Ovis aries: one gene and its partner. The protein of the gene in region 1 purifies or fractionates together with the protein of each later gene. This does not show direct contact. Links are inferred from orthologs where the notes say so. Each region holds a gene or a part of one and is shown in the gene's direction. Other genes may lie near its edges.

What was found.
Region 2: the proteins of KRAS (region 1) and RPL18 purify together in Homo sapiens (affinity purification with mass spectrometry; 3 studies listed by BioGRID and IntAct, with this or other methods). This does not show direct contact. The link is inferred for Ovis aries from reciprocal best matches to the Homo sapiens genes KRAS and RPL18.

The regions. Positions count from the first base shown.
Region 1 is NC_056056.1:190,372,477-190,376,759, forward strand, and holds the start of KRAS (GTPase KRas), read left to right. Parts: upstream 1-1,362; 5' UTR 1,363-1,435; exon of another isoform or gene 1,436-1,448; intron 1,449-4,283. UniProt on the Homo sapiens protein: Ras proteins bind GDP/GTP and possess intrinsic GTPase activity. Plays an important role in the regulation of cell proliferation.
Region 2 is NC_056067.1:55,014,664-55,019,112, reverse strand, and holds the start of RPL18 (large ribosomal subunit protein eL18), read left to right. Parts: upstream 1-1,495; 5' UTR 1,496-1,528; coding exon 1,529-1,531; intron 1,532-2,704; coding exon 2,705-2,791; intron 2,792-3,152; coding exon 3,153-3,260; intron 3,261-3,790; coding exon 3,791-3,889; intron 3,890-4,348; coding exon 4,349-4,449. Other genes in the region: SPHK2 (sphingosine kinase 2), read right to left, coding at 1-17.

The DNA.
Region 1 (4,283 bases):
AGTACAGCCCACGTAAGGGGAAGGAGGAAAAGGGGGCAGCTGGTGTAAGGCCTAGGTTAACAGACATACTAGTTGGTCTTTAAAATAACTATTCGTGTTTTATGATGCGGATTAGAAGGACAGACCTATGAGCAGAGACTCAGATGGGTGGTCCTACTAGGTATAAGCGCCAGTCTGCCAGGCCTCAATTTTAAAAAAACACTCCCCCAAACCTTTATAGATAGTTTATCAACGCAGACTCTGGGCATACTAGAGTTATGTTTAATTGTTTCATTGTTTAACGTGCTAACTCCCCGAACGTTAACTGATTAATCTGTCTTCTAATTAATGTTTGAATGATTCTCCTCAAGTCTAGACTATTAAGGGCACTTCTATTTAAAAATAGTCTGTCGTCTGCTTGTACTGTCAGGTGCCATAGGTATATCTGAGGTCGCCGTTTTGAGTGACCCGCGATGGCTTCGAAATATACATAAAAATAACAACAGAAAACAACAGATCCGCCGCTCCCTCCACCCCCCCGCCCCCCGCTTAATTAGTGGTGAAAGATTTTGTCGCGTTTGTCTGGGCTTGGGGCTAGCTCTCAGCCCCCGATTGTGGAGACTGGTAATCATCCAGGTGTGCTCAGAAAGCTCCGGGCCAGGGAACTGGCGGCCAGGTCTCTTCCGAGGTCCCCCAAGTTGCCTCCTACTTTGGGTGACTGCATGTTTATTCACTTGCAATAAATGATTGTAAATGAATGTACCCAAGTGCAGGCCGACCCCATGGGTGGCGGGATTTTCGCAGCTCCACCGTGTGGCCCCGACAGCAGGGCGGCGCTGGCCTCGGCATCGCCGGGGTACCGAGCCCGCGCCGGCCGGGGTCCGAGGCTGCGGCTCTTGGCCTGCCCTGCGGCTGGAGCCTGGGGGCGGGCCCCGCGTGGATCCGCCGGCGCCCCCACCCGCGCGCGCCGAGGCACCTCCCAGAGCCAACCTCTCTGCCACTACGCCGGCCGCGCGTCCCCACCCTCCACGGCCCCAGCCGCCCGCTTCCTCCGCCGCGCCGGCCCCCGCTCCTCCTCCGCCGGCCTGGTCCGCCCCCTCCCCGGCCCGGGCCGGCCCCCCTCCCTCTTCCCGGCGGCGCTAGCAGGCTCGCTCTTCCCTCTTCCCACATCGCCCTCAGCCGCACTCCCGTCTGGAGAGGAATCGAGCGCCGAGCGCATCGATAGCTCTGCCCTCTGCGGCCGCCCGGCCCCGAACTCATCGGTGCGCTCGGAGCTCGATTTTCCTAGGCGGCGGCCGCGGCGGCGGAGGCACAGCGGCGGCGGCGGTGGCGGCGGCGGCTTCGGTGGCGGTGGCGGTTCGGCCAGTACTCCCGGCCCCCGCCATTTCGGACTGGGAGCGAGCGCGGCGCAGGCACTGAAGGCAGCGGCGGGGGCCAGAGGCTCGGCGGCTCCCAGGTGCGGGAGAGAGGTACAGAGCGGACCACCCCTCGCGGCTCCTGCCGGGGTCCCGACCCTCCTCGCCGGCGCCGGGCGGGGCCGGCGGCGAGTGAATGAATTAGGGGTCCCTGGAGGGGCGGGAAGGGGGCGCGGGTGCGGGGCCTGGGCGGGCGGGCCGCCGGGCGGACGGGGCCGGTTGGGGGGGCGGTCTGCAGGGGGAGACGCGGCGACGCGGGGAATGAGGAATGGGCGGTGCGGGGCTGAGGAGGGTGAGGCTGGAGGCGGCCGCCGCTGGGGCTGCTTCCTGGACGGGGAACCCCTTCCTTCCTCCTCCCGAGAGCCGCGGCTGGAGGCGGCCGGGGAGAAACTCGCGGGCCGGGCGGGCCGCCCCTCTGGGCGGTCGGGTGCGGTGGAGGTTACTCCCGCGGCGCTCCAGCCTCCCCTCCCCCTCGCCGTCCTTCCCTCACCCTCCTCTCCGCTCCCGCACCTCTTCTTCCCTTCCTAGTACTGGGCTGCCTCGGTTGCTGCCTTCTCTGCTGCATCTCTCATCTCTGGGACGAAGGTATAAACTTCTCCCCCAAGCGCAGACTGGACGGCTTGTGGTCCTTTTTCAGTGTGTAGGGCGGATAGAAGAGTTAAGAGGTGAGGTCGCCTTTTGGAAGCGCAGGGGAAAGTGCTTAGAGACCACTGATGGAGGTTATTGTGTTTGGAAAAAATGCATCTGCAGCCGAGTTCCTGACGGCTCCCCTCCCCCCCGTATGGGCTGTGACATTGCTGTGGCCACAAAGGAGGTGGTGGAGGTAGAGATGGTGGTGAAAGAACAGGTGGCCAACACCCTGCAACGTAAAGCCTGGACTTCGTGTAAAGGAAAAAGTTAATCCCAGAAGGTCTGCTTTGCTTTGTCAAGTTAAAACACACACAGCAAACCCGCACGGCAGAAGCAGGGCTCTTTCCCTGCTAGTTGAGTGTGAACAGCGGTAGTTAAAATTGCACGTGAAGTTTAATTTGCCTGTTTTCCTTTCCCCCATGCCTTCTGTATTACCCTTATGCGTACAAATTGGACCCCCAGCCCAGGAGTTATTACAGTACTCCTAAACGGTTCCCAGGCCTTTTTTTTTTTTTTTTTTCCAAAAGCGACCTACAAGAGAAGTTAATTGTAGCAATCTGCCAGCCAAGTGCCTGAAATACTCTGAGGCATGTGCATTGGTGCAGGTGAAGTCCTAAACTGGCCTTCTTAAATCTTGATATCCACCAAAACGAGTGGTTAAGAACAAAAACGCATTTTCTAGTTTTTACTTACTATACATGTTACATTTGTAATGAAAGAAAAAATTGTTCAAAAGAAATTACAAAGGGAAAAAATTCTGTTCATAGTCATCATCTCAGAATCAACCTTATGAGTGATGTCATTCTTAGGTGACTAAGGTCCAAAATGCTGACTCGAATGTGTAGTGGACTAGAGACGTCAAAAATGGTTGATAGCAGTACTGTTTACCTTAGACTGTATCCGTCCACAGGCATTCCTGGTTTTAAGAGACAGTAGATGAAGTGATAATTCATTTTTTTTAATGGTCAAAAAAATGAACATTTTTTGCCTGAATGAAATGCTCAGTTCTGGTCCCAGTTCCACCCCTTACTAGCTTATGTAGCTTTGGACACGGAGAACTCCTTTGGCCTGTGATTTTCCATGGCAACCCATTTCTCTCTAGTGGATTAAAGAAACTTGATTTTTGAAATCCAAGTGAAAGATTTTTTTCAGAAATAACCACTGCATAAAAAAGTAGACCAGAAAGTGTGTGGTGTTGAGAATTCACATGTGTATCTGCAAGCTAAGCACTAATCCAGTATTTGTCCACAGTCTCCCCTAGACTGGCTCACTTACTGGCCATAAGGACTCTTCAAAATTACTGAAGATCCCAATGTGGAGTGTGTCAGTATTGCCACAACAGAAATTAGAATGGAGAATTAAACTATTAATTCATTTTAAAAAGAAATAATTAGCCCTTTACTTGGTAACAGAAATAGAATATTTAATGAAAAGTAACTGTTTTCCAAAACAAATGCAACAGTTAGCGAGAAGAGTGGCATTGTTTCACACTTTCACTAATCTCTCTAATTGTATGGCTTCGTAGAAGATAGCTGGATCCTCATAGCTGCTTCTATAGTCAATGTATTGTGATCACAGGTCTGGAAAATTCTACTGTATATACTTGTGAAAGAATAAGAGTGGGAAGGGTACATCACCTCATACCATTATCATCAAACCAGGTTTTACCTCTTGGACCCTCTCCAAAAGTCTTGGGAACCCTGGTGGGTTCCTATACCACATTTTAAGAACTACTCTTCTAGGCTATCCAGATTTTATTGGAGGGGTGGGGTGGCAGGGAACTAGAGGATATGTTTTGGTGTGATTATCCTCACCTATCACATTTGCTAATGCCAATATTAGGAATGAAAAGAGGGAGCAAAACAGGACATAATGCATGTTGGCGGTGGCCCTAGACAAGCCTGGGTGGCACAGAGCAGGCCCATGAGGAACTGTGATACAGCAGTTGCTGGGCCTGTCTGCTCTTTGGGAATGGGTTCAGGAAGTAGAGCCAGAGCAAGGATGTGGTGGGGTGGTGGGGTGCGTACTGGGAAGATTCTTGGTCTTCAGTAAATGGGATGCTGCATGTGTATGATGTTGTATAGTATATCTGCACTTTCATTAATCTGGAACTACTTACCGTGTAGTACATTCTTGAACATTGACTACCAGTTCATGACTTAAATTTGTAGTAATGTAGTTATTGAGGGAAAGGAGGTTAAAGTAGATACATTCATTTCAAAGAGTTTGAAACTAACTAAAAAAATATTGTCTGTGTTG
Region 2 (4,449 bases), on another chromosome or scaffold:
TCAAGGTGTCCATTCATCTGCTAGTCCTCCGCTGTGTTACCACGTCAGCAAGACGCTGGGCCTGGTTCGGAGGCCATGGGTTGGTGGTATGGGCAAGGAGTCAGGGCTCATGGTGCAGGTTTGGTCTGTGGCTCTGTGAAGAAGTAAGTAGGAGCCTGAAGGGCAAAGTAAAGGAGGCCAAGCTATTATAGGAATACTGCAGGCCCTAGAGGCAGGGCTTCCACAAGGAAGAAGTTTCATCACTGTCCCAACCAGTCCATCTGGTCCCATCCAGTAAAGTCAGTAACAAGAATAGATACTAATTTTTAGCAAGCACTTACTATGAACCAAACATTGTCCTGAGCTTTTAAACTAATTTTTAAACTAAATGCTCCAAAACACTCTATGTGCCAGGCCTACTATCCATCCCCCTTTTCCAGATAAAAAAGTAAGGCACCAAGAAGTTACACGACTTGCCCAAGGTCACGCCATTAGTAAGGATTAACAACAAAGCCACGAACTGAATTAGATTACAAACGATATCACCATCTTTCTATGTCGCTGCTCCTCTCTGGATCTCCACCTTCCCCCTTTCTAGGTCTTCTCACTCTCCCGGGTCACCAATTCATCACCCCCGCTTTCTGTTCACTTCCCTTCTCGGTCTCCATTCCTCCTCCTCTTGGAACCTAAGGCTCCCCTCCCCTCTTTCAGGAGGGTTTTTTTTTTTTTTTTACCCATCCCCTCTCTACCCCCATCCTCAAAGCCCGGGGGGCCTCAGCTTGCCTCCTCTACTCTCCAGTACCGTGCACATCCCTCAAACTGAAACGCGCTGGACCACCTGAATCTTTCCCGCTGGGAAAAGCAGCCTCCCGATGGCAGGGACAAGCAGGGTTCAGGGAAGGGCCATCTGAGGCCAGAGGGAGGAGGTGAACCTAAAAACTGGTAATACAGGATGCCACAATCGAAGTGCAGCAAGATGATCTCGGGTTACATCTCAAGTAAGACTTCGCGAGCTGCAACCTCACCTGAGAGGCGCAGCAAGCAATAAGACAGAGGAGAACCTCCTGAGGAAACGCCCAAAGCTTGAGGTCAGAGGTTTTCCGAGGTCCAGACTAGCCAGACAGCCCCGCCTCCTCACCTCTAACACTCGGCTCTCTGGGTCCTCCGGGAGCCACAGAGAGGCCGTCGGCGTCGGGCCAGAGCGTCACCGCGCGACGCCTCTTACTAGCTCCGCGCGACATCTCTCTCGCTCCGAGAGCCTTTTCTTCCGGAAGACTATCAAGAACAGCGTGAATAGAGCTAGAGAGGCCCCCGACGTGCGGGTCCTTCCGTCCTTGGCGCAGCCCTTGTTCCCCTTTAGATGCTCCTCCACTCAATTCCGGAAACGCCCATCTAGCTGGCCTTCTGATTCACCATAGAGAGGCGTGAGTCATAGTAGAGCGCCGCGTCGCCCAAGTGATGTCAGGTAGGCGCCACACGCTGAAGGCTTTCCCCGCCCATCCCGGGTCTGCTCTCTCTTTCCGGACCTGGCTAAGGAGGAGGCGCCATCATGGTGAGCTAGCTTTGCGGCGTCCTGGCCTCGACCATCCGCCGCCATCCACTGCGGCCCCGGGCTGGGGACGTTCCAAAGGGAGGCAGGGGTTCACGGGTGTTCGAAGGAGGCGACTCCCGCGGTGGGGAGCTGTTTTGGAAGCCCGAAGGCCAGGGCTGGGCTTCTTCAGTCTCCCACCCTTCCTGTACTTCTCTATTATATAGGTTCCATCGTAGGTGACCAGATTGAGGGGCAAGAAGGTTAAGTAGTATGACCAGGGCTACAGTGCCAGTAAATGGCGGAGCCAGGATTCGGATCCAGGAACTGGTTCCACAGCCACTCTTGCCTGTGCTGCCCCTGTATTCTGTCACTCCCCAGCCTGGAAAGTTGGGTGCTGGTAGGGGGAGTCGTCAAGCGGCTGGTTCCCGTGTTTGGGGCCAGGCGGGCTTCCGTTCGAGATTCAATTCCCTGTCCTCTGCATTCCCTGTGACTGGAAAGCATCTATCCTTTGGAGACCCAGTAATTTTGCTTCAAAGATGTGAGTTGAGTAAGAAGTGCTCACAGAAGGTGCTCACCAAGGGTCTTTGCATACCTAAATGCTGGATGAATAAGAGCTATTAACAAGTAGTTCTTTACGATTCATGACATAGTCATAGGCTTCCTTCAGCATTCTTAGCACTAGAGTGGGAAAGCACCTGGTCAGGTTTTTGGAGTCAAGAAGATAATGCTTGAAAAGTGGTTTTAAGATTGTTCTGTACAGAGTACTTGAGAAAAAGGCTGGTTGCTTTTATGATAACTTAAAGTCAGTCCTTGGTTTGTTTCTGATAACGCTCCACGTATGGGAATAAGCGTTGAGAGGTTAAATGGTACTTATATTTTTGAAAAACATAGCTGCTAAAGAACTAAAAATTTGAGTTAATAGGGGTGCCATTAAGGTCATTGTTCTGAGCTGACAGCTTACTGTGTAAAATTAGCACTCTTTCCCTTTTTAAAAAAATAAAATAAAAATGACTTGAGACCCAGAGAGTTTTAAGTGATTTTCCCAGATTGTTCTCAGTGTGGGTCTGGGGTTGGTTGTCTCCAGAGACTGCGCCTTTAGCTGTTTCTTGCACGTAAGGAATAATTGAAAATGTTTATGTGGTATCTGCCAAATGAGAGTTGGGTTCACGGTCTTCCCTTCCTTCACCCCTTCAGGGAGTTGACATCCGCCACAACAAGGACCGAAAGGTTCGACGCAAGGAGCCCAAGAGCCAGGACATTTACCTGAGGCTGTTGGTCAAGGTGAGGTTTGGGCCAGAGACCCCTCATCAAGGCCACCCCAGAAACAGAACTTCATAGCCTCCGTGTGGTTTCGCTCACAGGCTCCCTGCAGGGGCCTGGAGAGCAGGCACGAGTCTGCTGCTTTCCCAGAGCTGCTGGAGATTCCAGCTTTTTCAGTCTCTGGGCCTGTTCACAGCCGGGGGGGTGGTGTGGGGGATTTTCTGGGTCCCCGGCCGGGCAGGACTCGGCCAGCTCTCTCTAGGGCTCTATGGGATGGGGGAAAGCCCTCAGTCATCTGTTTGCCCCTTTGTTAGAAAGCTGGGAGGAAGGGGCTGGGCTCGGCTGCCCTGGGTTCTCACTCTTCATTTTCCTTCCGCTCCAGCTGTACAGGTTCCTGGCCAGACGAACCAACTCCACCTTCAATCAGGTTGTCCTCAAGAGATTGTTCATGAGCCGCACCAACCGGCCACCGCTCTCCCTTTCCCGGATGGTGAGGGGCTGATGCTGGGGCTTAGCCAACCTGGGGGAGCAACTGGGTCATGTCTGGAGCCCGATTTCGAGAAGAAGGGTGGGCTTGGAGCTCTCTGGTAGCAGCCTGGCTGTTAGCTGGCTTAACTTCATCCAGCGGTGGGTGCAGAACTCTGACCCTCCGATGGAAGCAGTATAGTGGGAGCGTTGGACTGGCTTAGCCTTATTTTCTTTCTTGCCGTGTCTGTGGGGTTGCAGTTTACAGTGTCTTTTATGAAATCTTCCTGAGGCTTGAAGTCTTAGAGCAAGTCCTCTGTATCAAAAGCTTTCTGTAGGAGAGATCTGTTTGCACATTTTTTGGAGGTTTCCCCAGGCTGGACCTGAGAGTAGGCTTGTTGTGGTAGTTAGAGAGGTGTGGCATGGGTGGGTTTAGCCCAAATGAGGCACAACTGTTGGCCCTTGGGACGCCTGGATCAGTGGGGTTGGATGTAAGCGCCAGAAAGGACTTGTTTAATGTGTATATCACGGCCCCCTCCCCTGTGCCCATCCCAGATCCGGAAGATGAAGCTTCCTGGCCGGGAGGGCAAGACAGCTGTGGTCGTGGGGACTGTAACCGACGATGTTCGTGTCCAGGAGGTTCCCAAACTGAAGGTGAGTGTGGCTCAGGAGCACGGTGTGTGTGTCACGCGGAGGCCCTTGTCCTGCTCTGGTGCCGTCAGGCTCGTCTTGCCTCTGGGTGAGGCAGGCATCAGGCCTGAATTGCAAGGGGATGGTGTGGACGGCGGGCGTCCCTGGGCAAGCCCCTTCTGGGGCCCTGCTGATGGTGCTCGCTCTGCCACCTCGTTATCTCTGGACAGTGCTCCACAGTATCTCTGCTTCAGCTTTCTCAACCTGTGTACTGGCTTAGGTTTGTGGTGTCGGGGGTTTCTAGATGTAAACTGGTAAGAATGGCTGCATTCTTAGGGCTTAGGCGTTTGCCTCCAGTAGTTGGTCATCAGGCAGAATAAGCAGCCGGAACTCCTGCTGGATCTGGGCAAGGGACCAGAGGTCCCAGCAGCTCCTGGGTCACCGTCCAGGGGGCTCTGACCATGCCCGTCCTCTGTCCCCTAGGTATGTGCTCTGCGAGTGAGCAGCCGCGCCCGGAGTCGCATCCTCAAGGCCGGGGGCAAGATCCTCACCTTTGACCAGCTGGCCCTGGATTCCCCCAAGGG